Linked DNA regions of Saccharomyces cerevisiae S288C. The protein of the gene in region 3 purifies or fractionates together with the protein of the main gene of each other region. This does not show direct contact. Each region holds a gene or a part of one and is shown on either strand. Other genes may lie near its edges.

Region 1 (7,105 bases), on a different chromosome or scaffold from region 3:
AAAAGGGCTAAAGGACTTGATGGATTTATGTGACGTTGTAGAATCTAAGTTTACTGAAAAAATCAAGAGCATGTAGATGTTACGGATCGACTCAAAGACCCTCTGTCACTCTGAAATTTCTAATAATTATGCACACCACGCTAGTATAGATACAGCTTGATTTGTGTATCCCGTTTATAGTCGTGCTATTTAAAATCTATGTATAATATAACCAGATAAAAATACACCTTCGTACAAGGTGCTAATAATGTTGAGAATTCGAAATTCCTTTTTAAAGGCGTATTCCGTATTGAATGATTGAAAAATTTATTTCTTTTTTTATTTCTTTTTTTTTTTTTTTTTTTTTTTTTTACGCCGATGCTCATCGCAGAAAATTTTTCCTTCAGTTTATTTGTCTTATAAAAAGACTGTCCTACGCTCAAATAACTTATACTTTTCTGTATCTCATTCAAATTATTTTCTTGTCAACAACCTGTAACAGAATTAAGCACTATTAAGGCAAATTTAGAGCAAATATGACTTACGGTGGTAGAGATCAGCAATATAACAAGACTAACTACAAGTCTAGAGGTGGCGACTTCCGCGGTGGAAGAAACTCTGATAGAAACTCTTACAATGACAGACCACAAGGCGGTAACTACCGTGGTGGTTTCGGTGGTCGTTCCAATTACAACCAACCCCAGGAATTGATCAAACCAAACTGGGATGAAGAATTACCCAAATTGCCAACTTTCGAAAAGAATTTCTATGTTGAACACGAAAGTGTTCGCGACAGATCGGACAGTGAGATTGCTCAGTTCAGAAAGGAAAATGAAATGACTATTTCCGGACACGATATTCCAAAGCCAATCACCACTTTCGATGAAGCTGGTTTCCCAGACTACGTTTTGAATGAAGTGAAGGCTGAAGGATTTGACAAACCAACTGGCATTCAATGTCAGGGTTGGCCAATGGCTTTATCTGGTAGGGACATGGTTGGTATTGCTGCCACTGGTTCCGGTAAGACTTTGTCTTATTGTTTACCAGGTATTGTTCATATCAACGCTCAACCATTATTGGCTCCAGGCGATGGACCAATTGTTTTGGTTTTGGCTCCAACTAGAGAATTGGCTGTTCAAATTCAAACAGAATGTTCCAAGTTTGGTCATAGTTCCAGAATCAGAAATACCTGTGTCTACGGTGGTGTTCCAAAAAGTCAACAAATCAGAGATTTATCTCGTGGCTCTGAAATTGTTATTGCTACTCCAGGTCGACTAATTGATATGCTAGAGATTGGTAAGACTAATTTGAAGAGAGTCACTTACCTGGTTCTTGATGAAGCTGATAGAATGTTAGATATGGGTTTTGAACCTCAAATCAGAAAGATTGTTGATCAAATCAGACCTGATAGACAAACCTTGATGTGGTCTGCCACTTGGCCAAAGGAGGTGAAGCAACTAGCCGCTGATTACTTGAATGATCCAATTCAAGTTCAAGTTGGTTCTCTAGAACTATCTGCCTCCCATAATATTACTCAGATCGTCGAAGTTGTTTCTGATTTCGAAAAGAGAGATCGTTTGAACAAGTACTTAGAAACAGCCTCTCAAGACAACGAATACAAGACATTAATCTTTGCTTCTACGAAAAGAATGTGCGATGATATCACCAAGTATCTAAGAGAAGATGGATGGCCCGCCTTGGCTATTCATGGTGACAAAGACCAAAGAGAACGTGACTGGGTTCTACAAGAGTTTAGAAACGGTAGATCCCCAATTATGGTTGCTACTGATGTGGCCGCCAGAGGTATCGGTATGTTAAAATTTTCTCCATTTTTTTATTGATTTTATTTTTTTTTGTTACCCCTAACGATATTACAGCTATTTCCTAATGGCTTTTAATGACATTAATGACTTTATGACAACCATGATAGTACAGAAGAGAGACCTTTTTTCTTTTTTTTTTTTTTTTCTTTTTTTTTTTTTTTTCTTTTTTTCTTTTTTTTTTTTTTGAGCCTTTTCGAATCTAGACTCTATGTGAGTCTATTCTCGATGGGGAGTATCGGAAATTGAATTTTAATTCGAATGACTTCTAATGCATCACTACAGAAAACTAATATTGGGAGGATGAGAAAAATTGACTTTAATTAGTCGTTTTGAGAGACGGGAAATTATAAACTCGGAGAAGTGTATTTGTGTTCATGATTTGCACTTCATGTCAAAAGAAATTTCGCTTTTTGACATCGGCGCAAATAAACAAGGAATTGGCTTTTCAGCTTATTTCTAGAACGCATACATACGCTTCGTTGATCGTTGTTTTTTTCAATGCTTGGCATTTGTACAAGGGTAGATTGTTTTATTGGAAAAATAATAGTATATTCTACTTTGAAATGCCGTCATCCTTCTTGACTATTGTTATTCTCATTTTGTGTAGTTTATGCATTTTGTAGTTATATTGAGATACTGTTGCATCCCAAGTTCGAATTATTAAGAAGTGCTGATAAAAATGGAAAATAACAAAATAAAAGGATTTCAACCATATTCAGAAATCATTTACTTTGTTTTCCTTTTTTTAAGTGCTAGCTTTCATTCAGTTTGAATAAGGATTCTGGAGTATTGATGATTAAATATTTCGAATTCTTTAATAAAAATATAATTTCTGATAATCTTCAAGCCAGGGGGAAATTTGAGACAATGTTGGGAGTCCAAACATGAATTTGTGGGGGGCATGAAAATAAAGTTCATATACAGAATAACGAACCAAATTACTAACAGTATGCTTTGTAAACGTTTGTTTACTTCTTTATTTTTTCAGATGTCAAAGGTATCAATTACGTTATCAACTACGATATGCCAGGTAACATTGAAGATTATGTTCACAGAATCGGTAGAACTGGTAGAGCAGGTGCTACTGGTACTGCTATATCTTTCTTCACCGAACAAAACAAAGGTTTAGGTGCTAAATTAATCTCTATCATGAGAGAAGCTAATCAAAATATTCCTCCCGAATTATTGAAATACGACAGGAGATCTTATGGTGGCGGTCACCCAAGATACGGTGGTGGTCGTGGTGGTCGTGGTGGCTATGGCCGTAGAGGTGGTTACGGTGGTGGCCGTGGTGGTTACGGCGGTAACAGGCAGAGAGATGGTGGCTGGGGTAACAGAGGTCGTTCAAACTATTGAAGTCAAAGTGATTCAATTCATTCATCTCTATTAATAATAATTATATAAGTTGACTGCACCTTATTTCTTCAATGCATGATAAAATTTTATTTGCTGTATACTACATTTTTAATATTTTAAAGCTCTTCGTCACACTTTTTCTTTAATACTCCTAAGTTTTTGGGTGAACGGTGGCAACTGGATTGAAGTTATTTCGCATAACGCTTAGTGTGCCGTAAAATAATAGGACAGACACTTTTCTTTGTTCTCGTACAACCCTGGGGCCGATGTTAAACGAATGATTTTCAAAAAAACAGTAGACTTACAAAGAAGTCGTGCACTAGCGCTTATGGGTCATTTTAGAATGAGCGAAATGCACGACAACCAGGTTGATCGTATTGAAGTAAGAGCAGAGCTTTATTTGCCTTTTTTTTTTTTATCTAAGACGATGATTTTTAGCCATACACAAAGATAAGTATATACATATTAATTTATAATAATTCTATCTGCCAGGCAGATTCTATGATACAGTGACATACTTCTATGCGATATAGTAGCATAAGTTAATGTTGTAAGACATTAATTTGGCCTTGATTGCTTGTAAATAAATAATTTAATAAACTGAAACGAAAAATTCAATTGAGTTTGGAGAAGAGTGTGGGCTATTCTGGAAGAAAAATTATTCGTTCAACAAATAATAAGCAACACCTAGCATTAAAATGGCCAATATGACAACCAATGTACCACTACCTTTACTTTGGTTTTCAGAGGTAGATACCTTTTCCACAGAAACGCGCTCACTGGTCTTGTCAACGTCACCAATGTATAAACCTTTCAGTAGTCTCAATGCTTCGTCAGAATGACCGATATCGACAAAGCTTTCTGTAGCATCTTGTCCACCCAAATCCATTATAATTTCATCACCACCTGGATGTTCATCTTTGAATTGAGAAACATCGTAAACTTTGTCATCGATGATAATCCAGAAATTTTCTGGGCCATTGTGTTCGGCAACTTCTTGGTAACTGTAAACTTTAGGCATGATTGTTTGATATTTTATGTTGTAGTTGATTGATTTTCTTTACTATGAAGAAAATGAAAATCGAATTTAAATATTAACGAGGAAGCCTGAACGAAAATTTTTGAGAAAGTTTCAAAAGCTTCTTGTTCTTTATATAGTTATTGGAAAAAGGACAATATATATATTTGTTATTTATTGATATAATAACAATGCTTCTCAAATATCGCTTTTTGGCCACGAATGCGACAAAAATTTTCTCGTTATGCTAACCTCTCTCACTATCTCGATCTCGTATAGCTTTCTTTTTTGCAGCTATTGTTCTTTTTCTGGGCCGTTAAATTTTTCATCCGGAAACTCCAGGCTATTACCCGCTCCGTGATTTTGGTCGTTGAATCTTCGTAAAAGCAATCATGTAAATATCATTGAATACGGACAAACGGAACTATATTGCTGGAATTAATGATATAAATGGTTTCCCAAGTTTGCTATATCTCCTATTCTATCTTACAAAACCCTTTTCTCAGGGTGGATGAGAAGTGACAAGTCACCATTTGAATTCGATACCTGACTTGGCTAATTTTTTTATCCTTTCTTCATGTTTTTGCTTCATGTTATCCTTTAGCTGTTTTACTGGTTTGGTGATACCTTTCTCTACTAGAACTCTCTTCTTGTATTTGTACAATTTCTCGATTTTAGCTCCTTTTGGTAATACACGCACTTGTAGTAGATGACCCATCAACAAGTAATTGTTCATAGATTCTTGGGCGATCATTGCATCCTCTTTATTAACGAATTCTAAGAAGCCATAATGTCTGGAATTTCCAGTTTTCTTATTACGTGCTAATCTCACTTCTTTTAAATCACCGAATTGAGCAAAATATTTACTTAATTCCTTTTCGTGGAACCCATGTGGCAGTCTACTCACATAAATAATCCCAGAATACTCTTCAAGTGTCTTTTTATCTTTCGACTTTTTTTCATTAGCCTGCTTCTTAGGATTCAATCTTTTAATCTTGTGTGTACCGCTCTGCTCATCATCAGAAGCGGCTAAACCTTCAATTTCATCTTCATCTTTTTCGTCTTCTTCATCTGAACTGCTAGACGATGTTTCTAGAGCCAACTCTTCTTTCTCCTGTATAGGTTTTTCTTCGGTGGGTTGTTTGGTTACTGTTTCCTTGGTGGAAGTTTTGCTTGTTGACTTTACCATATCGATCTCTTTCCTCTGTTATTTTATCTCTAGAACTTAACCCTATAGAAAAGGTAGTTAATGAAGTTAAAAGTAATGGTAATCGTCTTCAAATTAAGTGATGAGATGAGATGCGATGCACTACTTCATTTTTTCTTATGGCGGAAAATTTTTCATAGTGAAAAGAAACAGGCAAAATCTGGGGGGTAACCGCATACGTCTCTGCTATGCCGTCTGTAATGAGGATGCTAAAGTTGCAATAGCTGCTATGCACATTAGAAAGGGTTTAGCAGGATAATGAGTTTTCAGAGATAGCACAAAACTCGAAAGGTTTCGGTACTACTACCTAGACAGCTCATCTTTCAATCGTTGAACCTTGAATTTTGAAGTTTAGGGATATTAAAAGATACTGTTAATTCTATCAATTTACACTAGACTTTGACATATGTATATATATATATATATTCACACAGCTTCATCATGAAATAAAAATCAAATGCAGAAGTGTATAATGAGAAGTACAGAATTCAAGACTCACTTTAGTTTTCACTCCATTTTTAGTTTTCCGCTCTCAGCTGCTCTTCTCGCTTTGATATCAGCGTCTGAACCAGCCTCAAAGGCATTCATAAACGTCCAATTCATTTCTTCCCCATTAGTTAAAAAGGAGGTGTTGCCATTCATTGTAAGTTTCCACTCTCTCTCTTCAAATGGTATACTTTCATTTTCTCCTTTCACCAGCTCAAATTTATCAATAGCACAACTTCCATTTCTTATAAAGGTGCCTTTGTTATCAATGGGCTCTTTGGCACTGGAGAATTTCAACAAGTTCATACCAAGAGCGGATTTAGTGGCTGCGTGGGTAACTATCATAATGGTCTTTACATTTGGAAATTTTCTCTCCACTCTGTCAATAAAGACAGGCCAGAATTTATGGCACCTCTCAAAAATATCTTCTTCTGTTTCACCCTTATTACTAGGAATAATACTAGGTTCCCAGTCTGGAGAGATCATGCTTGGAAAAAACTTACTCATAACTTCATGAGTAGCAGGCTCCGGGATAATGGGTCTATCAGGCTTATACCATTCTCCTACACCACGATCGACATATAATGGAATCTTTAAAGCCTCCACTGTGGGTTTACTAGTTTCTAAACAGCGGTAAAATGGGGAGGAGAAAATCATTTCTGGTTTGACATCTAATTTAGAGATATAGTTCGCCAGTTCATGTGCCTGTTCAACACCGTGTTCCGAAAGCGGGACATCGTTATCAATACCGGTGGGCGGTGGTGGATATGGTCCCTTTGGTAGCCAGTTTGACCTGTAACCATGTCTGGCAATGTATATATTTTCGATAGCCATAATTTATAGCACTATTTTAACCTCTTGTACAACTAATTGAACGTCTTACATATTGAACGAAACTGCTTTACTTCTAGGATTGTTTTCAAAGCTTTTTTATAAATTTCGAAATATCCGCTATTCGGATGACGTGATGACGCTTCGGCACCATTGATTATTTTTCCAGAGTTTAGATGTCTTCTATGTGCAACTGAACAAGTAGCCTTCGAAAGCTAGAGGGATAGATACATTACTTGTGACCACCTATTTACGGCATCACAAAGAAAGCGAGATGGCTCCGACAATAAGCAAAAGGATAAAAACTCTCTCCGTGAGCAGACCAATAATATATGGCAATACGGCTAAAAAGATGGGTAGCGTTAAACCACCAAATGCTCCTGCCGAACATACTCATTTATGGAC
Region 2 (8,591 bases), on a different chromosome or scaffold from region 3:
TAACGGCGAATTCACTGTAAAGGTTGGACTTCCAGACATCGCGAACGAAAAGATAATTTGGGGGTGGTAAAAAGATCGGTGGCATACTTTGGTTGGTTAAATGCTTGGGTAGCTGGGAAGCCAAGGGACGATTGAGTCCCACTCCCTGCTGCTGTTGCTGCTGTTGTTGTTGCTGCTGTTGTTGTTGCTGCAGAACGTTCAGTCCGGGCGGCAAACTAGCCACCGAAACAGGCGTTCCTATATTAAATGGCTGCTGTTGTTGTTGCTGTTGCTGTTGTTGCTGAGTTAACAGTGGCTCGTTCTTCTGCTTCAAAAGATAGGCATTGTTCATCTCCTGATTAACAGAGCCATTAATTGTATTTACAGGCATCCCTTGAGGAAACATTCTTGCTCTATTAACCTTTGGCGAATACACCTGAGGTCCCATGTTTTGCTGCTGGTGTTGTTCAGAAGCCTGCCTCTGAGAGAAAAACTGCTCACCTCCTACAGCTAATACCCTCGGTTGTACATTCATAGATTGCATAATCCTTTTTGACCCTTTATAAATGTATAAAATTGAGTTGCCTGTTTCTAATCGTTCGAAGTATTTCCAGTATGAAAAACAAGGAAGCCCTGATAACGAGACACGCTAATAAACTTCAAACTGATCTTTCTTGTCAGTTATCATTCTACTACTATAATTGAAAAGACTCAATAAAGAAAATATCATAATGATGAAAAAAGAGCGAGCAGCGGGTAAGGACCGAATTCCGTTTGGAATGACTGGTATAATGAGATTTACCTTATACTATAGAGAGGGCTATATCATTACCGAACTTAAGTTTTCTATTGGAATATTATACTTTATAAACTAAATAATTACCCATCTATGTTGTTTCCCCAAGAATGTTTGCTGCCATATAATAAGAACAAAAAAAAAAATAACAAAAAAAAAGAAAAAAAAAATCACTTGTAATCTTAAATTAATATTATACACCGGTTGTCCGTTTTTACCTCTATGCCGTCTTCTCAACTTCTTTCTTCTTTGGTTTTTCTTCCCCTTCCTTTTCAGGTGGAAGGACGAACCAAGGGATTTTACCTCTATTAAAATCATTCAATATTTGCTTAGAAACACCAGACTCATCAGGCTCACCACCCTTCAGTAATCTACCTTGTTTCCTTGCCAGAATTTCAATAAACTCCGTGGCATCCTTCCATCCTGAGATCTCGTAAGTTCTTTCCAAGTGCTTTACCTGACAACGTTTTAAAACACCTGGAATATATTGTTCTGGGTGTGTGACGTGTTCGACTCTGACAACACCTCTGAATAAAATGTCTTCTTCGGAGTCTTTACTAGAAGGCGGCACAATACCTGGACAATCAATCAAAAAAATTCTTTTCATAAGAGTAATATATTGCCAGACCTTAGTTTCACCAGGGATTGGTGCAACTTGACACACCTTTTTCTTTCTCAATGTGTTAATGATGGACGATTTACCAGTGTTTGGATAGCCGATAAACCCTACAGATATTTGCTTTCTATCAGTATGCAACTGTGAGAACTGACGTAGCAACTGAATTAACGAACCTTTACCGAAAGAGTTGGTAATAGATGCGTGAAACGCCAAAGTTGGACGTTCCTTTGACAAATGTTTGACCCAAGCTGCCTACTTGTAAAGTTAGAATTGAAAAAAAAAAACCTTCTGTTAGTAAAAAATACATTTTGTTTCATAATAGGTAATCTTTTGCCCCAAGAGAATGTAATAATCATTGTTATAGCCGAGATTGATTGTTTCGAAGAGTGGATTAAACTAAAAAAAAAAAAAAAGTAGAAAATTGTGAGGATCTTTACTACGAACATATTGTATGGAGCCCGAGATAAAGTCTCAAATAACAAAAGCTCAACTCATAAGATCCTCGCTGTTCTAAAAAGCGAAGGTATACCTTTAAAACAAAGGTTGTCCTTCTAATTTACCCATGAGGCTTCCCCAGAACGGGGAAATATGGATAAGCGAACAGTATTACTCTTCCAAAACAGTAACAGACACTTCTGTAGATAAGTTTATCCTAAAACGGATAGAGAAGCACCCTGACAAAAAGGTTTGGTAATAAAAATCATACTCTATCGAAAAAAAAAATCTCTCGTGCTATCCTCTTGGTTGGAAAGAATCAAAAAAAAAAAAAAAAAAGTTAACATACTGCAACCCAGGTAGGTACCAAATCACACTTATTAAGAACATAAATTAAATGCTTGTGTGGTGTTTCCTTCTTCATATACTCTTCCACGGACTTACAACGGGTACCCAATGGATCCCTTGCATCTAGAACATGTATTACCACGTCAGACGAATCGATGACTTTATATAATTCGTTCCAAATACGTTTGGATTGACCCTTACTGAAAATAGCTTCTTTTGCTGCGGAGGTCCACCCATTTTCTTTGTCTTCCTGGTTCCCCATTAGTCCTAATGTGGCATCTAAGACTTGCTTTTCCTCATACTTGGTAATGTCTTCATTTGTAGCCTTGACCAAGTCCTCTAGATTGGATGCAGCAAGACGTGGTCTCTTTCTTTGGGCTTTGGGCCCAAACGCATCAGCATAACTTTCGGTATCCAAAATTCTGGCTTTTGGGGATTCATCTGCGTCCTTTTCTTCCAACAATGACATGGGAAGCTTATTTCTTCTCAGAAGAACTTGATATGTATCTTTTTGGGTTTCACCCAATGCACTTCTGAAATGCTGCAGTGCGTCCTGAGATATCACTCTTGTGTTACCGAACCAACGACGATCTGGTTGGACCCTCGCATCCGGTATTGTGGAGTCCTGGAAAGAAGCGGCCCTAATTAAATTACCTTTCTTATTCCTGATCTCCTTCCCACTAGTGTACATATTCAGGAATTTGACTCTCTTGGAGTCTCTGTAGAAATTTTCACCCTTCACACGAAGATTACCATCTTTGGTGTCACCTTCACGAATACGTCTAGATTTCTCTTTCTTACCAGTACCCATTGTATTATTCCTCCCCTGATATTTAGTGGTTTTGCTGCAAGTCAACAGATCTTCAAAGTTAACACTTAAGGGAAAGTACTAACAAGTAGTAAATATCTTTTATATATTCTACGCTTCTTTATATGCCCAAAAAGAAGAAAAGTGAAAAATTTTTCTTCAAGCGAAAAATTTTTGCGATGAGCATCGGGCAAAAAAACGTGCTAAATGACAGGTTGTGTTTATATATTTGTTATTGATTCTATATTATAGTAAATTGGTGAGAACATTACCCAAGTCTTTGGACCCAGAGGATTGCTGCTTGATATCAGAGGGAGCATTGGCACGGCTTGTTTCCACACGACGTTGTTTAAATTCCCTGTGAGGGTGAGAATCTGCAGACTCTCCTTCTTTTCCGGCGCGCTTCCTAGAGTTCTTAATGTTTTGTATCATCTTACTTTGCTCCACGTTTCTAATGAATTCCGCGTTCAGTTTGTTGGCCTGCGAGATTTCCATCTCCAACTTGGCCTGTCTGATATCGTTCTCGCGGGCAATCTGTTCAGTCAAATCTGCCCATTTGAAACCTGGGAGGTACTTCACGTTCAGGATATCATCATGGTAGAAAGTACCTTTCTTGCCACCAATAATGTTCCCGTTCAACGTCTCCGCACACAATTTGGCGTCTCTTTTCCTAATAAACTCGGCCCAACCTTCTTCATACTTGTTTTTCTTGTTTCCTCCACCTTTAACTCTTTGCTTGTACTTTTGATCGTCCTCTTTCTTTAGAAATAGTCTATCTACCTCACCAAAACGAGTTAATATTTGTCTCATTTTTGCAGGTTTCATGTAAGGTGGAATACTGGAGAAGTATACCACCCCAGTCTTGTGTTTAGACTTCTTGGCGGCCTTTGATTTTACCAGTTGCCTTAGTTTTTCTGTTTTTAAATCCAGTGAAGTGGTGGACGAAGCTTGTTCTTCTACTTCTCGATCGAGCTTTTCTCCATTCTCTTTATCTGGTTGTTCTACATCCTCTTTTTCTTCTTGTTTTTGCTCTTCTTCTATGTCTGACTCGTTTTCACTTTCGATGTCTTCTACCTTCTTACTGAAGATATCATCCTTACTAGAAATTTTTTTCTTGGTCTGAATTAAGACGTTATGTTGATCGGTTTCCTCATCTGAGGAAAAGTCTTCAAAGTCACTATTTACTTTTTCACTCATGCGTAAAAATTTACTTCACTCTGCTGCAGTAAACTGTTTGCTTTGTACTTACATAGCAATGGGTAGTTTGTCAGGTTGAAATTTTTCAAAATCTTAATAGCGAAAGTTTTACTGCGCAATGTGAGAAAAGCTGGCTATAACGAAGTAATTCAAAATAATAAAACAAGAGAAAGAAAAAATTTACACGTCATTGCCTTTGGAAATGTGATCAGACAGACCCAATATCACCGTTTAAATATTCTTCACGAGATAATGTAGTTTGTCAATTGAAACGCTATTTGGTGGCTGGCTAATCAAATATGGTCGATGAAGGGGTTGTCAATCCAGCAGCCCTTAAAGAATTGTCGCTATCTGTTTGTTCCTATAATTAATTTGCACTGAAAAGATACATGTGCATTATTGCAGTATATTATAAGGAATTCCGGAGTTTTCTAGTAACTTTCTAGTCGCGCAACCGAGAGATGAGTACTACAACGCAACCTATTTGGTAGTGCATCCTACACATTGTGAACGTTTTTGGTTCATATTACAATATTACGATATTACGAATTTTACCCTTTCTTTAATACTAACTTTGATCAGAAAGCACCTTTATCAATATGGCCACGTCTGGGAAGTCGGTCATAATCAAAAGGCTACAGGCTTTGGGGTTTGAAATATCAATATACGAATTGTGAGACTTTGTTTTATCTTAGGGACGAAAATGGATGTGTGAAATTACTTATGGAAGGATCAATAATAGCAACGTTTGCTAATGTGTTAAGATGGCAAAATGCTACTGGTACGCCTCGTTGAGTATCCATCATTATTAATAGCGCCAAAATTGAAACATTAATTGCGGTTTTAGAACAACTTTAGAATTACAGAGCAAGGTGATAAGATCTCAATAGCTTATGAAAAATAATAATTTTTTAGAACCTAATGAACGTGTCGAAACTTTCCGCAAAATATTATGTACATCTCTACTCAACCTTCTATTAGGATCATGAGAAATGTGTTAAAACAGAAAAAATGCACCCTCATAATAAAAAACTTGGCCAAACCAAACCCTTTCTAGTACATCGATATGTATATCACACAATAAAGTCAATGCAGCATAACTTAGAATCGAGGTAGCGACTCCCCGTATTGCTCAAAATGGAAAATTCTATGGAAATAGAATTCATATGACTCTGAGAACTAAAGGAACATTATGACGAACAAAATTGCTATGATGTGAGGAATAAGATGATACAGTCCTACCAAATACCAAAGATCGGGTCGTCGAGGGCGGTATCATATCTAGGGAGATTTCTTTTCAATTAGAGCATATTCATTATCAAGTAACCACCATTTGTATTTTTTTTTTCTTCTCAAGGTAGTTATTCTGTTCTGACGTGCAGAAGATGGGCGTAGCATTGACACAAAGATTCAGTGGGAAACTATATATCCATATCTCATCCTGGTTTGGAAAATGAAGAGCTGCATACTTATATGAGGGAAAGAAGGCTAAACAAAATATACGTAAAGCAACTATCAAGAGCCAATGGAATCTATTTTCAAAATTTGCGTTCTTCCAAAACATTTATCCCGTTTGATGCATTAATGAAAATTATGAACATTTATTTCCTTACCACACGTACATTGGGTGCTCTACTTTCTTTTTTATTTAAGCATATAAAATGTACACAGTAGTAAAATACCATTTTAAAATATTATTTGAACAATCATAGAACACTACGCAGGTATTCTTCTTCAAAAAGATAGCTTCAATGTATTTCATGTATCTGAAAACGCTTTGTCTTGCCATTAAAGATCTGGTGGCCCCGACAAAATAAAAAAAAATACTGAAGGATGCGAGGTTCGAACTCGCGCGGACAACCGTCCAACAGATCTTAAGTCTGCCGCCTTAGACCACTCGGCCAACCCTCCAAAGATTTATACTTTTTGTTGTATCTCAAAATGAGATACGTCAGTATGACATTTTGAGATCCTAAACGTTCATAAAACACATATGAAACAACCTTATAACAAAACGAACAACATGAGACAAAACCCGTCCTTCCCTAGCTGAACTACCCAAAAGTATAAATGCCTGAACAATTAGTTTAGATCCGAGATTCCGCGCTTCCACCACTTAGCATGATTCATATTTTATATAATATATAAGATAAGTAACATTCCGTGAATTAATCTGATAAACTGTTTTGACAACTGGTTACTTCCCTAAGACTGTTTATATTAGGATTGTCAAGACACTCCGGTATTACTCGAGCCCGTAATACAACACTTTTTATCGTATTTCAGGTAGTATACCACATCATTATTTGAAGAGTGGGTGAGTTTTGAGATAATTGTTGGGATTCCATTGTGATTAAGGCTATAATATTAGGTATGTAGATATACTAGAAGTTCTCCTCGAGGATTTAGGAATCCATAAAAGGGAATCTGCAATTCTACACAATTCTATAAATATTATTATCATCATTTTATATGTTAATATTCATTGATCCTATTACATTATCAATCCTTGCGTTTCAGCTTCCACTAATTTAGATGACTATTTCTCATCATTTGCGTCATCTTCTAACACCGTATATGATAATATACTAGTAACGTAAATACTAGTTAGTAGATGATAGTTGATTTTTATTCCAACATTATTGTACTCAGCAATTGTTGCGAAACAGACAAGATTAAGTATATTATTCAAGGCCTTGCTTACCTAGATGAACCATTGAGAAATATACATATTGAGCAATACCTCTAGGTCCGAAGTTCCGTGCCTACACCCTTTAGTCAGATTTAGATTATATGAGATAAGTGGTATTTTGTGGACCAAGTTTGTGATTAATCTGATATCAAGTTACTTTCTTAACGACATTAGGACGCCAGGGTAGCCAGTATTATTCAAGTCCATAGAACAGCCTGTATACCTTCACTTCATTAGGTATATTCTTGGTTATGCGTTATTTAAATCCTCATCTGCCGCTGCTTAAAAAAAGCAGCTAAAGTGTTGCGTAGGCACTTCGAACAAGTAGTCAGTAATATCACCTTTTAACATCTAATCATCAAAAGAGACATTTTTTGGGATTAATTGTTTATAAAAGCTATGAACTTAGGTCTACAGAATGTACCAAAAGTTATCCTGTAGGATATAGGAATCTACGAAAGGGGCCCGATACTTCTATATAATATATATTTTTATTTCTCCTTCAATTTTATACGTTGTCATTCCTTATCCTATTACTTCATCAATTCTTGCAATTCAACATCCAATAACTTTGATAACTGTTTCCCATCAATTATGTCGTCATTTTACACTGTATATGATACAAGTAGTATGAGTACACACCAATAGATGATTAATTTTTTCCGACAATCAAATATTGGGATCATAAACACACATAATCGCCATATCCGTTAATTCGGGTTTCAATCACTTCGTTTGTCTATCGTATCGCAGCCTAGTGAATATTTAATTCTTTCAATAAAAAAGGCTTAAAATCACCATGAAAATCACAAGAGGAATCTTTCAACAAGAACAATAGTATACAATCCATGAATGAAGGAGTTCATATTTGACTAGAACTATACAAAGGTTTTGTACTGTTTTTACTGTGAGGGTAGCATCTCATTTATCCAGAATCTCAGAAGGGAGAAACCCAATCGCTAAATCGATATTATCACCCAGAAGTTTCAAATAGGCGATTGTAGAATATACACAGGGACAACCACTCAGTTTATGGCTTCAGTGCGCGCCCAGTTCTGGAGGAAAGCATTATCGAAGTAATAAAACTTTAAAAAAGCTCTCCGCAACTAATGAGGATTGCAGTATCCAGATACCCTTGTTTTCTGCCAAATGAACACTTTTACTATGTCATATAAACAAAAAGTGCCATTTCTTGGTACTGCTTCAGTCTTAGGAATGGTCAATACGTTATTATTACTTAAATATACGATTAATAACATGCTCTGTTGCGTATTTAGTAAGTGTGTAAGGAAACTGTAATATTACCTAACCGGTATCCCACGTGTTTCACGAAGGGCGCTTTTGTTGTTGCAATTATAATCCTAGTTAGGTAAAAAAAAAATACTTAATTCCTATCATCTACTAGATACAAGAAAGACGTCTCTGAATTACACACCGTCTCTCAAATTGACAGATTGCAAATACCATCTCTTAGTCCAAAGTCTTATCCTCTTACCATAGTAGTACATTGGTAAAGCAAATGCAGTAATCCCAAAGTTGATGACAGCTAAAGCAATGTAAGTATTTTCAGTACCAGATGCAGCTAGCCAATCAGAACAGGTAAAGGTGAAAATGCAAGATATCGTGTTGTTAATAATAGCAGTACAAACCATACCTTCCAAAACCATATCGGGGTAACAATCCATTAAATACGCCATCGCAATATCACCAGAACAAC
Region 3 (6,194 bases):
TCTATCAAAAGTCAGATCTCTTATGACCGCTTGAACCTGTGGAATGTATATAAGCAGTTTTGATGTTAAGATTTTTTTTTCAATAGAATTTCTTCCTTCGGAAATAATCCCGATTAAGAAATTATTCTTGACGCAATATTCAGCTATATGTTGATCGGGCTTAACCGCATAAGTTTCGTTACCCTTTTTTACCCCAATTTTTAATTTCGGCGGTTATTTTCAGCCCTTTTAGAGTCAAGATATATAAGAATGCTTCTCTAAGAAGTGAGACTAACAATGAAACCCGTTTCAGACAATCTGGAAGTCTTAGAACGCATAACACAGAAATGTCAACAACATTAGCAGCACCAGCGAAACTAAAGAGTTTGCTCCTGAATCTACATACTCACTGTATTGGGCTACACGTTAACGATGTCACACCTAAAGTATATTTCAAGTTATTGATACGGCATCTTCTACAGATATCTAGATCAAACGCTGCTCATCCTAAGCTAAGAAGAAGGGCCCAGATTTTATTGGTATCGCTTTTCCTATCTGGTGTCACACTTTTTTCTGGTGTAACATATAGTACTTTCAAAATTATTCTAAAATGTTATAAATTTTACAAGTTTCCATGGAAGAGAAGGAATAGGAGACCTTTAATAAGAAGAACAAGATCTCAAATGCAATTAGACAGTGGTGCAAGAATAATGTATATTCCTGAAGTGGAATTAGTCGACCGCCAGAGTCCCGATGACAACAAATTTATGAATGCTACAGATAAAAAAAAAAGGAAAAGGATATTTATTCCACCAAAGGATAACGATGTATATGAACACGATAAGTTTCTTTTTAAAAATGTAGAACTGGAAAGAGCCAAGAATTCGCAGTTATTCTACTCAAAATTTTTAAACCAAATGAACGTCTTGTCTAAAATTTTAATTCCAACAGTTTTTGACAAAAACTTTCTTCTTTTAACTGCTCAAATTTTTTTCCTGGTGATGAGAACTTGGCTCTCTTTGTTTGTAGCCAAGCTGGATGGACAAATAGTCAAAAATATAATTGCTGGTAGAGGAAGAAGCTTTCTGTGGGACTTAGGGTGTTGGTTTTTAATTGCTGTCCCTGCTTCTTATACTAATAGTGCTATTAAGCTACTTCAAAGGAAGTTGAGTTTAAACTTTAGGGTAAATTTGACACGTTACATCCATGACATGTATTTGGATAAAAGACTAACATTTTACAAATTAATTTTTGATGCAAAGGCGTCCAATTCGGTAATCAAGAATATCGACAACTCCATTACTAATGATGTTGCAAAATTTTGCGATGCGACATGCTCCGTTTTTGCAAACATTGCAAAGCCAGTTATTGATTTAATATTCTTTTCGGTTTATTTACGTGATAATTTGGGAACTGTGGGAGTAGCAGGTATATTTGTTAATTATTTCATTACTGGGTTTATTTTGAGGAAATACACGCCACCATTAGGTAAATTGGCAGGCGAGAGATCTGCTTCAGACGGCGATTACTACAATTATCATCTAAACATGATAAATAATAGCGAAGAGATCGCATTTTACCAAGGAACAGCAGTGGAAAGGACGAAAGTTAAAGAGTTGTATGATGTGCTGATGGAAAAAATGCTGCTGGTTGATAAAGTCAAGTTTGGTTACAATATGTTGGAAGACTATGTTTTAAAATATACATGGTCCGGTTTGGGTTATGTTTTTGCCTCAATCCCTATCGTTATGTCTACCTTAGCGACAGGCATCAATTCAGAGGAAAAAAATATGAAGGAATTTATAGTCAACAAAAGGTTGATGTTGTCGCTTGCAGATGCAGGCTCGAGATTGATGCATTCGATAAAGGACATCTCACAATTGACCGGCTACACTAATAGGATATTTACTCTGCTTTCCGTCTTACACAGGGTTCACTCTCTGAACTTTAATTACGGCGCTGTTCCTTCAATCCTGTCAATACGTACAGAAGACGCTTCCAGAAATTCCAACTTATTACCCACCACGGATAATTCGCAAGATGCTATTCGTGGTACTATTCAACGCAATTTTAACGGTATTCGGTTAGAAAATATAGACGTAATCATTCCATCAGTAAGGGCGAGCGAAGGCATAAAGCTGATTAACAAGCTTACATTTCAAATTCCTTTGCATATTGACCCAATAACTTCAAAGTCCAATTCTATACAAGACTTATCGAAGGCAAATGATATAAAGTTACCATTTTTGCAGGGTTCTGGCTCCAGCCTGTTAATATTAGGGCCAAATGGTTGCGGTAAAAGTTCAATTCAACGCATTATAGCTGAAATATGGCCAGTGTATAACAAAAATGGATTATTGTCGATTCCTTCAGAAAATAATATTTTTTTTATTCCTCAGAAACCATATTTTAGTAGAGGTGGAACTTTAAGAGACCAAATTATATACCCCATGTCCTCGGATGAATTCTTTGATAGGGGGTTTAGAGATAAGGAGCTAGTACAGATATTAGTCGAAGTGAAACTAGATTATCTTTTAAAAAGAGGCGTTGGCTTAACTTACCTAGATGCCATTGCCGATTGGAAGGACTTATTAAGTGGTGGTGAAAAGCAAAGAGTAAATTTTGCTAGAATCATGTTTCATAAACCACTATACGTAGTATTAGATGAGGCTACAAACGCAATTAGTGTTGACATGGAAGACTATCTGTTCAATCTTTTAAAACGATACAGATTCAATTTCATTTCCATATCACAAAGACCCACATTAATCAAATATCATGAAATGTTACTAGAGATCGGTGAAAATCGAGATGGCAAATGGCAATTACAGGCAGTTGGTACCGATGAAGCAATCACGTCGATTGACAACGAGATTGAGGAATTGGAGAGAAAACTAGAAAGAGTAAAAGGTTGGGAAGATGAGAGGACGAAGCTACGGGAAAAGCTTGAAATTATTTGAAAACACCCTAGAAAGGGAGAGATTTTATTTAGCGAATATAATTTATATATTATTTCCGTAACTGAATTTGTACTTTTGAATGTTTAACTGATATCTAGAGATATCGACATGGGAATGCCCTCTCAAACTAGAAAAGGGCAGAGAACGAAAAGAAAATGAAACAATTTGTTACCTACTATACAGTTGTTGGTCTTGCCAACACAAATATGAACATATATATATATATCTCACTTGATGAATCCACGTATCAAGGACAACCTTTTCATGGAAACATATACTGTAAAACAAAAAACTCTATTTGAAGTCCTTATGTGTCCACTTTTCAGTGATTTTCTGCTTATACTTTCTACCTTTCCTAACGGGCACTCTTGTTTCGACCTTACCAGAACTTTGTAGTTTTCTCACAGTATCATATAGCAGATTTCCTTCAGGTTTCAGTTTTCTCAATGAGTCAGATAATTCGTCAGAAAATTTAATCTCCAATCTTTCATCAATCACAGAGTATTTCGTCCCTAACTTGTGTTTCTTATTTTTCTTGCTTTTTTTAACCTTGTTGCTATCTGACTCTATGGCTGAAAGTATCTCAGTCTCTTCAGAATTGATAACTTCTTCTAAATCTTTAACACGTTGTCTCAATTCTTTCAACTCTTGTTGCAATTTTACTTTCTCTTCATGTCTCTTTGCCTTGTTTCTTTGATATTTTGTTTTCTTTTTATTCTTCACAGGCTTATTTATTGATAGTTTTATTTCCTTATCAGATCCACTACATTGCGTACTTTCATTTTCATTTTCATTTTCTTCTTCTTCTTCTTCTTCTTCTTCGTTTGATGAAGACTCTTCCTCTTCATTGTCATCTAAAGTTTCCATTAAATGTCTAATTCTTTCTTTGTACTTTTCCAAGGCGATTCTTTCATCTTCTCTTGCCTTTTCCTCTTTATACTCTTTGTTTATCAATTCTGACCAAGCTTTATTGTTGGGATTGTAGGATTTACCAGCATGTGGAATTTCTGTGAATTCTTTTACTGCAATTGGCTCTATATCTAAAGTACTTGGTCTGACTGAAGCAGTAGACCAACTTGTCGTGGATTTTTTCAATAGTTCTTCAGGTATCTGGTCCTTTTTTTCCACATCAAGTTTGATACCGGAAGGTAATTTGACCTTCTGTTTCTTTGAATTGGATTCTTCACCCCATAAGTCGCCAGCCGTTGTTTTAACTAGACCGTCTTTGGCAACTCTATTCTTGATCTTCGATTCGCCGTGTACTCTGCCAGCCAAAGCCATTAATTTCTTTAATTCGTGTTTAGAAACACCTTGAATCTTATTAGGATTTCCACTACTATTCTTATGGTGATTTAGTGCTGCAATTTTTGAATTCGTTTTAACGGCGTCTAAAATCTCTTTACTTTTTAGAACCTTCTTAATTTGTTTCCTTTTAATTAATTTATTTTTCAATATCTCATCACCCTCAACATCAACATGAAAAAGAGCATCATTTTGCAAAGAGGTTATATCACTGGTACCATGCGTAATTTCATGATCAATTTTCTTTTCCATATATTGTTCTACGTCAGATAAATCGATATTTTTTCTCCATGCTTTCTTACCCTTTCTTGAAGACTGTTTGTATTGAGATGGTTTCTTGGTTAGATTAGTTGGAGCCATTTTTAAATAAATGATTCATTAACGTGAGGATGGTATGGATCACAAGAAAGCCGAACTAATAGCATAAGTTGTAATGTAAGGACCCCATCGCATTTTTATTGCTCTTTTCTTTTTTAGAAGTGAAAAAGCTCGGGCACGGAAAATTTTTTGATGGAATTATAGAATTTCGTCAAATATGACTGTATTCTCTCAGAGCACACCTGTTAGGTAATACGCAATATTATGATAATATTACTTTAGTACTTGGCGTTAGCCTCTTGTGTTTCATTGTTATGGAGTGATAAAACAGGCCTATGGTTCGATAAGCGTACAGATTTTGGGATATACCATAAACTTTGTATAGAAAGTGTTGTATAAGTGCATATACTCCATCGATTATGTGGTTCTACAAAATTGACATAAGAAAATTAGAGAGTTATAAAAAAGACAAAAGTGAGGATATCAACAGAGAAGATAAAATATAGTAATAGGTTGTAAATAATAACAAAACTTGCATGAAAACTTGGTAAACTTCAAATTTTAACCTTCGTATGATGATTAAAAAGGATATGACATCATGAGAAAAAAATGAGCGATCTGTCTATCAATAATTAAAGGAAGAAGTAGAAATAGATAAAGGTTTTTTCTGCTTCATCTTTAACAGCAATATAGCATATTCTTGTGGTTCGAAAGAATAAATTCTAGTCATTATAGTGAAAAGAGAACAAAACAATATAAGATTTAGGGGATGGTAAAAATGATTTCTTAGTTCCTCTAATGATTTCATATCCTTTCCTGTCACATGAAGAGAAAAAGGAAGGAAAAAGAAGAAAAGATAGATAATATATTAGTGCAACGGTAACAAGTTGTTACTTTATCGTTCTCCTTACAAAACAATTTCCTTTTCTTCGTCCCACAACTCTCTTTGGAATCTCCAATGAATGGATGAAAGATCCTCCTTCCTGTCTTCTTTGTCACCCACCAAAGTACCACTTGGAGCATTCTTCGTTGATAAATTTAGAGCAGAGGCGAGTTTTAAGAAAGTGTCATCCTTTTCAGGTACAAGGGCGCCTTCTTCGGGCGTGACAGAGTAGTCAAAATCTTTGAACCATCTTCTTTGCCAGCTAATGCCTTTAGCTTCTTCCTCTTTTCTCAATTCTCTTTGCGTTTCTTCCAATTCAGTTTTCGTTTTGGCAATTAAGTTAAAATCGCCTAATTTGATGGCACCAGCCACGTCGTACCAGGCTTTTCTACTTTCCAGTGGGTGTTGCTCCTCCAAAGGCTTGACATTCAGATGTTCAGCAGGGATTCTAGCAGCATCGTAAAATAATCGTGATTCTTCTTTCTTATTTGCCTTGATTATTTTAGAAGAGCCAGACCATTGGCCTGATATTGTGTATAATGCCTTTTCCTTGTCCTTGCTATCTTTAGAGTCTTTGTAAATTCTTGCCTTGAATGAATTCTTTTTACCAGAAAAGTAGCCTCTACCTGAAAATTCAATAACACAAAGTAGACCTGTCGAAGATTGGATATATGATTTTCCTTCCAATTCAACAAAGGGAGAAGCGACAAGAATACCTTCAATATGCAATGGAGGTGGGGTAACCAAATAAC
Region 4 (8,866 bases), on a different chromosome or scaffold from region 3:
TGCAATTGGAGTATTGGAGAAAATTTTCTTTTCCCTTTCATTACGGCGGAAATACTTCATATAAAAAAAAAGAATACAATCAGTCTTTAAGACTATACGCATAAGCATTCAAGACACATAGAAACACAAACCTATATTTTTAATGTCAGCATCAGCTTTTAATTTTGCCTTTAGAAGATTTTGGAATAGTGAAACAGGCCCTAAAACAGTACACTTCTGGGCCCCAACTTTGAAGTGGGGGCTGGTCTTCGCAGGGCTAAATGATATTAAGAGGCCTGTTGAGAAGGTATCAGGAGCACAAAATTTATCTTTATTAGCGACGGCACTGATTTGGACGCGTTGGTCGTTTGTCATCAAGCCCAAGAACTATCTGTTAGCTTCCGTCAATTTTTTCCTGGGTTGCACTGCAGGCTACCATCTAACAAGAATTGCTAACTTTAGGATACGGAACGGTGATTCTTTTAAACAGGTTATTCACTACATAATAAAAGGGGAGACTCCTGCAGCCGTCGCAGCAAAGCAAACTGCATCCACATCGATGAACAAAGGTGTGATCGGTACTAATCCGCCAATAACGCACTGATTACGTAAACGATAATATGTTCCTGAACTCGCATTTTTTTAATGATTTTTTATGACCTCTTATATATTCTTTCATTATATAACCTCTATATTACATCAAAAGATGGAAAAATATAAAAAAATTAAAAAAAAAAAAAAGAAATTTTTTCCAAAAGAGTATATTTATATGTATGTATACATGTAGGGAAAATAAGAAACTTTATTAATAGTAAAAAAGCATATATACTTTATTATTAACTCTTTTGTTTTTCTCGAGAAGCTTAATTTTGGGTCAATTCAACGACCTTTTTAGCAGCAGGATCTAATTCATCAAACGAATAAATCTTCACGCCTGACTTATTGATAATGTCGCGGCCTTCTTCTACTTTGGTACCTTGCAAACGTGCCACAATGGGGACCCTAACTTCTAGTTCTCTGGCGGCTTCTACCAGCCCCAGGGCAACATAGTCACATCTTACGATACCGCCGAAAATATTGACGAAAATTGCATCTACGTTCTTATTGGATAAGATCAATTCGAAACCTTGTTTGATGGTCTCAGGGGTGGCACCACCACCACAATCCAAAAAGTTCGCAGGATCGCCTCCATTTAATTTGATGACATCCATAGTAGCCATAGCCAAACCAGCACCATTGACTAAACATCCAATGTTACCCTTCAACTTAACAAAATTCAAATCATACTTCTTTGCCTTAACTTCATCAGGATCTTCTTGTGATAAGTCCCTCCAGGAATATATCTTTTCCTGTCTGAATGATGCGTTATCATCAAACCCAAATTTGGCGTCTGTACACATGATTTTGTGGGTTGGATCATGTTCAATTTCACTCAAAGGGTTAATCTCCACTTGTGTAGCATCCCTTTCCATGAATATTTTATACAAATTGGAAACAGCTTTTGCTGCCTCGTCTTGTGCATCGGGACTGAAACCGAGACTCTTGGCAACATCCTTGGCCATTTGTGGGCTCAATCCCTTTGAAGTTTCAATTGAAAATTTCTTTATAGCATCTGGGGTTCTCTCAGCCACCTCTTCAATATTCATACCACCTTGACTGGACGCAATGATCATCGGTTTCTTGGTTTGTCTGTCCATTAGAATAGATAAATAAGCTTCATGCTTTGTATCTACTCTTTTCACTATATATACAGCAGATACTGGCTTCCCCGCTATTCCCGTCTGTTTAGTAATCAGGTTATGATTGAGCATTTCTTTTGCAACATCCTCTGCCTGCTGAGGACTTTCGATCATGTGAACACCGCTTTTGTAACCGGTGTCGAAGTGACCTTTACCTCTACCTCCGGTCAATGCCTGCGCCTTGATGACCAGTTTGTTAGTGTTTAATTTCTTGGCTGCTTCGAAAGCCTCTTCGGGAGTGAACGCTGGAAATCCTTCTGGAGTACCAATACCGTATTCCCTCAATAACTGAGCTGACCTGTATTCATGAATTGACAAGTGTCTCCTTGCTTGTAAAGCAGCTTGCGCGTTTAGCCTGCTTAATTGCCCACACTTTGAAATTAGGGATAAGGATTTTCTTGAGTACATTTTGTTCAGTTGCAATGCTTCAGTATTTTTTTCGATTGTATTGACTCAATCCTTATTAATCCTAACTACCTAAAAGTCAGTTACAAAAAAACTGGACTATCGCTCTATAGTCACTGTTATTTTTCGAGAGAAAACGTCAAAGTGCTGATAAGGAAAACGTCGATCTTATATAAAACCTCAAAGATGTTGACTACGCGGCAATTGAAAGGCCAACCAACTTTTAGAATACTCACTCCGCCGCTGCGGGGAAAAGCCGAGAATTCCCGATGAACACATAATCGATACCAGTTGGAGCATTTTTCTCTGTACCAAGACATAAAAAGAGTTTTTTTTAGTATCTACCTGGCTTTGGTGTTCCATTCAAGGTAGAGAAGTCCTCATACAGTTGGAGAGATGAATGTATCTGTGTATATGTATGTATATATTAATATGGCTACGATGTCGTCTAATACCCCTTCTTCTTTTGTTTGGTGATGTGTGCACGTAACACTTTTTGCTTGTCTCGTAGTGACATTTTTTGTTTACCTCTAACAGATCTCTTGTGAATAGACATAACAAAGTTCTTCCTTCTTTCTTTTTCTCTGTTGGTAGTAGAACGCATGTTGTCACGCTTACCGCGTCTACTACCAAATTTGTCTCTACCTTCACGACCTTCCAACACCTTTTGTAATCTTTCCTCACGAGACTGTTTGTATTTGATAGGGCCTGTTAGTGTACTTGCATCAACTAACTCTTCACGCTTGTCTTGTTTGTGGATACCCATTATTTTAGCAACGCTTTCCTCATTACGCAATTCTTGTAGTTTAGCGAAATCTGCCGGAGTTAAAATACGTGTAGAAGCAATTTCACGGAAGGCAGCTTCGGGATCTATATCTGCATCTTCTTGCTCATCCTTCACTTCTTTTTCATCGTCATCATCGCTTAGTTCCAAATCGGAATCTGATTCCTTGCCCTTAGCATTGTCTTTTTCATCGTCACTATCTTCCATATCAACGTCATATTCTTTATCACTATCCATGGTGACCCACTCACCGTCGACATCGTCTTCTTCGCTATCGACATCTACTTCCCAGTTGGCATCAGCGTCTTCATTTTCACTCTCTTCACCATGTTCTTTCTTCCATTTGGCTAACAGTTCGATACCAGCAATCCCTTGAACACTGTTGTCGGCACCAAATTGCGGTCTTTTTGAATCTTTACCTCCTTTCTTGGCTTCTTGTACTTCCATGGCGGCATTCTTACCACGATCCTTCTTCTTTAGCATTTCTGGTGCCACGTCTCTATACAACGCTATCAATGACTTGGCAGCCATATTGACACCTTTAGCTTTAGACCCCTTATATTCTACCAGATCCTGTAGTAGAATCTCATCGATAGCCAAAGGTGCACGAGAGCATATTTCTCTAATGGTATTAATGCCTGCAGCAGCGACTTCATTGGCAACACCGTCTGATACAAACTCGTCTGCAATCTTTCTCACCATGACATTTATAACTTCAGGAGGGACAAGATCATGACATGCTTGGGCACATGCGGACATAATTCTTGTAACATCTCTTTGTTTCGGAGTTAAGTACTTTAAAAAAAAAGTATAAATTCCTAAAACAATTAACTTATGGGTACCAATCAACCTTGATAACAGCTGCATCAAAGATATTTTTTGTTCCATGTCAAATTTGTTTTTCGTTTTGCCTGAAAGATGTTCCTTAAACAATTTTTCGGCAAATCCTTGTGGATCTCTCAAAAGGTGGATAGCACTGAAGTTTAAATACCCTTGAGGAGCACCCGGTCCGTTCTTCTTCTTCTTCTTCACAGTTTTTATGGCATTCTCCAGCTTCTTACCACGTCTACCCGTTTTTTTATTGACTTGCATCTTATGCCTTAATGCATCTAAATCAAACCCATCCTCATCCTCGGAATTTTCTTCAAAATTTTCTTCACGTTCTCTGTCAGCATCCAAAAAAAACATCACACCAGACATGACAATCTTAACATCCTGATGTAATGCTGCTTGGGTCATAATTTCTACTGTTCTTGAATCATCCCAAATACCACGTCTCCAAAGTTCTCTGGTTAATTTTGTGGCCCAGATTCCCTGGGAATCTGGTTGATCTAACAAATTAAAGCAAACGGCCTGCGTAGATTTGTTCAATTTTTGATTTTTACCATTAGTATTACAACTTTTTAATAAAGAAATTAAATTTGTATAAATGATTTTCCTCAATTCCTTGGCGTGTGAATTAACGCCGAGTGAATTACCATGGGAAGAGTAAGCAACCAATAAAGGAAATAAGCTTTGAATTAATTCCTCAGCAGTAATGACGTCCTTATTCCTTAACATCGTCAAACAACTTAAGATTTTTTCTTTCAATTCAAATGGCAAGGACTTATGGTGTTCCAGCAAAAGCTGCTTTAATTCAGACGGGAAGTTTGCAGTTTCACGAGGAAAACATGAGCAGACTTGAGATACGAAGCCAACCAATTCAATAAGTTGCGAAGTTGAAGTGCTCATGGTGGTACCGTTAGTACCTGCCATTGTAGAAGATCCATTTCCTACATCGAGCCCATTAGTGGCAGCTGCAGAATCACCTCCAGCAAGCCCATTTAACATAAAAATGTCCCTTAGCGATTCATAATGTGCATATTGTTGAAGAAACTCCTCTTGATAGGACTCTGGGTCACGCTTTACCAAATTCTGTAAAAGAATGATATTTGTTGGGAGCATAGCTGCTCTACTTCTTCTACCCATTGTTGATGCCCTTGATTGGTATATTCAGTGCGTCTTGTGCTTCCTCCTTAACTATTATTACTTATTCAAAAAAGTGACGTTTGATATGTTTTTTTAGTGGTAGAACGTTCTATCTGTTAAGCGTGTTATGGTTATCTGCGATGAGATGAGTTTAAAATTTTCATTTTTTAGCCGATCAAGCAAAAGAAAAGAAAAAAAAAAAAAACTGAAATTTCCACCTTACCCGTTTTTTTAATGGAACAGTGATTGTTACGACATTGAGATTTTAGATTTATATAATCACATACATATTAAATAGTTAATGCACCTTTAATTCTTTTGCACTTCATGTTCTATATATTTTAGCCAAAACCAAATGTATTGCGTCTTTATTTCCGTTCCCTTTTTCCTTCCTAGGGTTGATTACCTAAACGTTACCTAAACAAACCGTCAATGGCGTCGTAATTAATCTTCTTGGAGAAACTTGCCTTCTGCAACATGTTCTTGACACTATCAGCAGTTGTGAAATCACCACTTTCCTCAGCTGCCTTCAATGCAGCGTGTAAACCAGACTTATCTTGTAAGTCTGACATCAATCCGATAGCTGCTGCTGCATCCACAGTTTTTGTAGGTTCGTCACTTCTAGTATTATTCCTACGTCTCGTACGTTTTTTTTTCACTGATGTGTTACCTGTGGCAATATCTGCCTCCTGTTTCAAACGTTTACTCTCTTGTTCAAGTAAGAAATCTGCGTTCAGACCAATCCAAATTCTTTCCTTCAATTTAGAAGCTTCCTCGTTTAATAGGTGCGCGTTTAACTCCTCATCATCAACATCTTCTAAATTATCTGGGTCGTCACTAACTTTCGAAAGGTATGTGTCCGTTGTGGGTAACAAGTGTAAATTGCGAGGACAATATGGGTCTGTTTCTAGAGAGTAACCATCAATGGCATCTTGAAAATGCCCAGATTCGTTCTCTTTCTTTTCTTCTGATGTTTTTGTCTTTACCTTCTTGACTTTTTCCTCAGTCCCTTCCGTCTCTTTGTCTTCCCCTTCAACATGCTCGTTCTGGATAGAAACTTCAGAAAGTTTGCGTTTCCTTGTTTCGTTTTCAGAACCTTCATGGTATATATTTTCACCATCTATACCATTAGTAGCCTTAATCCTCTCCACAACACGGGCCCTTCTTTCTGAAAATTGTTTTAAGTAAAACAGGACTTCCTTGGAAGACAGTTCTTGTTCTCCTAATACTTGCGTCAAAATTGGATTTTTATTCAATGCTTCTTCACTTGTTTGAAACATCTCTTCTTTGTCTAAAGAGTCCTTTATTTTTCTTTCTTTCTTTCTGTTCTTCACAAAGGAGGGAGGCCTAGCCTCACCGTCTTCCACATCATTTTCTCTAAATTTTTGAACTGAAAGTTTAGCAGCCTTTGTATTTTTGAATTCGTTCAACCGTTGCTGTAAAGTTTCCTCGGCGACATGTGAAACTGCGACGATCTCTGTATGAGTTCTTCTCAAATTATTCATCCTGCAAGCTAGTAGAATACATGCGCCGGCAATACCTGCAGGTCTACGTCCTTCAAACATCCAGTCCTTGGACATTCTTTGAGCCAATTTTACGGCATCTTTTACCACTTTGATCTTCTTGTCAGCAAGATCCAATTTTTCGGCAAAATGTTGAATGAATAAGGAAGGATCCGCTAACGGCAATTCTGTGATATGTAATTTCTTTACCATTTTCAAAAATGTGGCTCCTATGGAATACACACTCACCTGTAACCTTGAAGAGAAGTCGATCAGCATATGATGCGTCTTTTCCTTTCTACATGCAACGTAAAGACATGAAGCGATAACATTTTGGGACCTACGACCTTGTACAAAGTTATTAGCCAATGCAAGCTTATACCATTGGAAAGCAGCATCTGTGATATATTCCGGGATATGTAATGCGTAAGAAACGGCGCGTAATTTCCTTCTTGCATTGTTCAATGTGGCTTCTCTAGATTCTAGAGCACTAGAACCACCAAATGCAGCATGACTTTGTCCTGCACCGATAAAAGAACCTTGTACTACAGCAGCACCTGCACTTGTTTCACCGAATGTAACTTCAGAGACGATAGGATTATCTTCTGAGACAACACCACAAGCTTTACAAACTAAATCGTTGTTAGCATTGGAAAGATCTCTCTCAAATTCGGTTCCGTGACAGTTCTTACACACTGGCATTGGTATATGACTATGGACTCTTTTTTATTACCGTTTTTACCATTGGGATTGTTCTTGATGCGATCAAAAATATGATTTTTTTTATCATACCTGATACTTCGCGAAAACCTTAGAATAGCAAATAAGGCCATCGCAACATTAATAGACAAAAATTAGAGTCACTTCACTTCGTTGATTTTTGATAGCGACGGCCGTGACCATTGCAAGATTTCTAATGAGGGGAAGAACAACTTTTCTTGTAGATTACCTCCACTTTAATCGGATGTCTTTTTTTACGTCCAAGAGTATTCAATGTCATCAAGATAGAAGCAAATTTTTCTAACACTAAATGTTATATTGCATCTGTATCAGTATATATGTGTATGTGGGAAGCCATAGTTCACTACTTCACAACTTTAAAAACAATCTATTTTCCTTTGTTCACTAAGTGATTTTGTAGGCGTGATCAAGTGCTTACCGGGGGGTTTTTATTTTTTTTAGGTTAGATCCGATGGAGAAGCGATGCAGGTGAAGTTTAATAAGAACCCAATTCGTAAGCAGGGGCACAAACAATCAAGAAGTTATCAAAGTCACTTTTGAGATACCAAGAATCTAATCAGATTATTTTATCATTTTATTTTACCATCAATTGTAATTATTCTAGTTTGGGAATTCGCGATACTTCAATTTGCTAATATCAGTAACCACAGAAAAATGGCAATAGCATTATGGTATTGTCCACCACAAGGATCAGTTGCTTACGAGACATTACAGATGCTTATATTTTCGTTTCAAACGTTGTTCCCAGATTCACCAGTTTTTGAACCTCATGTGACGGTAACGTCCCATTTGGTGTGCAATAGTAAAGATGATGTCAACAAAATCTTGACCTCCTGTGTTGCTGCCATCCAATCGATAAGGTCACACCAAACAGCAAAGAAAGGACGTAAGGGACAGGTATCCCATGCTGTTGCAGCTCCTTTGGTATCTTTCAATGGATGCAGTGTAGGTAAACAATATTTCAAGAAAATTGTGCTCGAGTGTAACAAGAACAAAATACTTTATGGGGTCGCACAAGTCATGAGAGAGATGTACGTAGAGATCGATCCTGAGACGCGAAGTAGCCGTGCCGCCACTTGGGTGCACGAGGAATTCCATCCTCACGTCTCATTGCTTTATTCGGATATTCATCCGGTAAGTCAGGCGTCATTGCGAGTAGTTCAACAAAGAATTGAAGATGCTCTAGACGTGCAACTAGTTCCAAGAGAGAAACGTAAGGGTTCCGGAAACGCTGATGGGTCCAATGAAGTGCAAATGAGATGGGATTTTGACGTATCTTCATCGCTATCTTGGAATATCCCAGGAACGTTTAAAGTGGTCAACTGTGTGGGGCCCGTTCAAGAATGGGAGGTATTGGGACGGGTGGACGTTTAAGCATACATTTATGTGCACTGTAAGTAATTATATAGAATTTTTTTTTTTTTTTTTTTTTTCATATCTGTCAATACTTGAAAATGTTCTAGTTAGAGATTTACGTATACTGATCGCTTGCCTTCGCAAGGGATGGAAATCCCTTGAAAATTAAAAAAATCCCCCCCTAAGCAGCGAAAATTGTAAGATCCATAATATTTAAGAAATGACGAAGAACGTAGTCTTATCGCAGCAGTTTTCCAAACAAAGAATGCCATTCATCAAATAATCCACAACCACCTCAAGAAAAATGGTGAAATTACAAAGGTTTAGCGAAAAGAAAAGCCTCATACACGAATTCGGCAAGTTTATCCTTGAAAAGCAAGAATCGGCGTTAA

The links.
Region 1: the proteins of NOP53 (region 3) and NOP15 purify together in Saccharomyces cerevisiae (affinity purification with mass spectrometry; 4 studies listed by BioGRID). This does not show direct contact.
Region 2: the proteins of NOP53 (region 3) and NOG2 purify together in Saccharomyces cerevisiae (affinity purification with mass spectrometry; 9 studies listed by BioGRID, with this or other methods). This does not show direct contact.
Region 4: the proteins of NOP53 (region 3) and SDA1 purify together in Saccharomyces cerevisiae (affinity purification with mass spectrometry; 5 studies listed by BioGRID, with this or other methods). This does not show direct contact.

The regions. Positions count from the first base shown.
Region 1 is NC_001146.8:413,124-420,228, forward strand, and holds NOP15 (rRNA-binding ribosome biosynthesis protein NOP15), read right to left. Parts: upstream 5,366-7,105; coding exon 4,703-5,365; downstream 1-4,702. Other genes in the region: DNA-directed RNA polymerase core subunit RPC19, read left to right, coding at 1-76; DEAD-box ATP-dependent RNA helicase DBP2, read left to right, coding at 516-1,788, 2,791-3,158; CYB5 (Cyb5p), read right to left, coding at 3,817-4,179; YNL108C (uncharacterized protein), read right to left, coding at 5,891-6,703; YEATS domain-containing protein YAF9, read left to right, coding at 6,975-7,105. UniProt on the Saccharomyces cerevisiae protein: Involved in the biogenesis of the 60S ribosomal subunit. Required for pre-rRNA processing and cytokinesis. Associates with the precursors of the 25S and 5.8S rRNAs.
Region 2 is NC_001146.8:720,125-728,715, forward strand, and holds NOG2 (putative GTPase NOG2), read right to left. Parts: upstream 2,989-8,591; coding exon 2,179-2,988; intron 2,088-2,178; exon of another isoform or gene 1,814-2,087; intron 1,647-1,813; coding exon 996-1,646; downstream 1-995. Other genes in the region: CCR4-NOT core DEDD family RNase subunit POP2, read right to left, coding at 1-523; RNA-binding ATPase activator ESF2, read right to left, coding at 3,232-4,182; HOL1 (Hol1p), read right to left, coding at 8,302-8,591. UniProt on the Saccharomyces cerevisiae protein: GTPase that associates with pre-60S ribosomal subunits in the nucleolus and is required for their nuclear export and maturation.
Region 3 is NC_001148.4:272,929-279,122, forward strand, and holds NOP53 (Nop53p), read right to left. Parts: upstream 4,602-6,194; coding exon 3,234-4,601; downstream 1-3,233. Other genes in the region: ATP-binding cassette long-chain fatty acid transporter PXA1, read left to right, coding at 327-2,939; oxysterol-binding protein KES1, read right to left, coding at 5,467-6,194. UniProt on the Saccharomyces cerevisiae protein: Late-acting factor in the nuclear maturation of 60S ribosomal subunits, which is required for normal acquisition of export competence. Required for the export of the large subunit.
Region 4 is NC_001139.9:977,194-986,059, forward strand, and holds SDA1 (Sda1p), read right to left. Parts: upstream 4,876-8,866; coding exon 2,572-4,875; downstream 1-2,571. Other genes in the region: MPC3 (mitochondrial pyruvate carrier), read left to right, coding at 143-583; LSC2 (succinate--CoA ligase (GDP-forming) subunit beta), read right to left, coding at 843-2,126; transcription factor TFIIIB subunit BRF1, read right to left, coding at 5,289-7,079; CPD1 (2',3'-cyclic-nucleotide 3'-phosphodiesterase), read left to right, coding at 7,773-8,492; 6-phosphogluconolactonase SOL4, read left to right, coding at 8,779-8,866.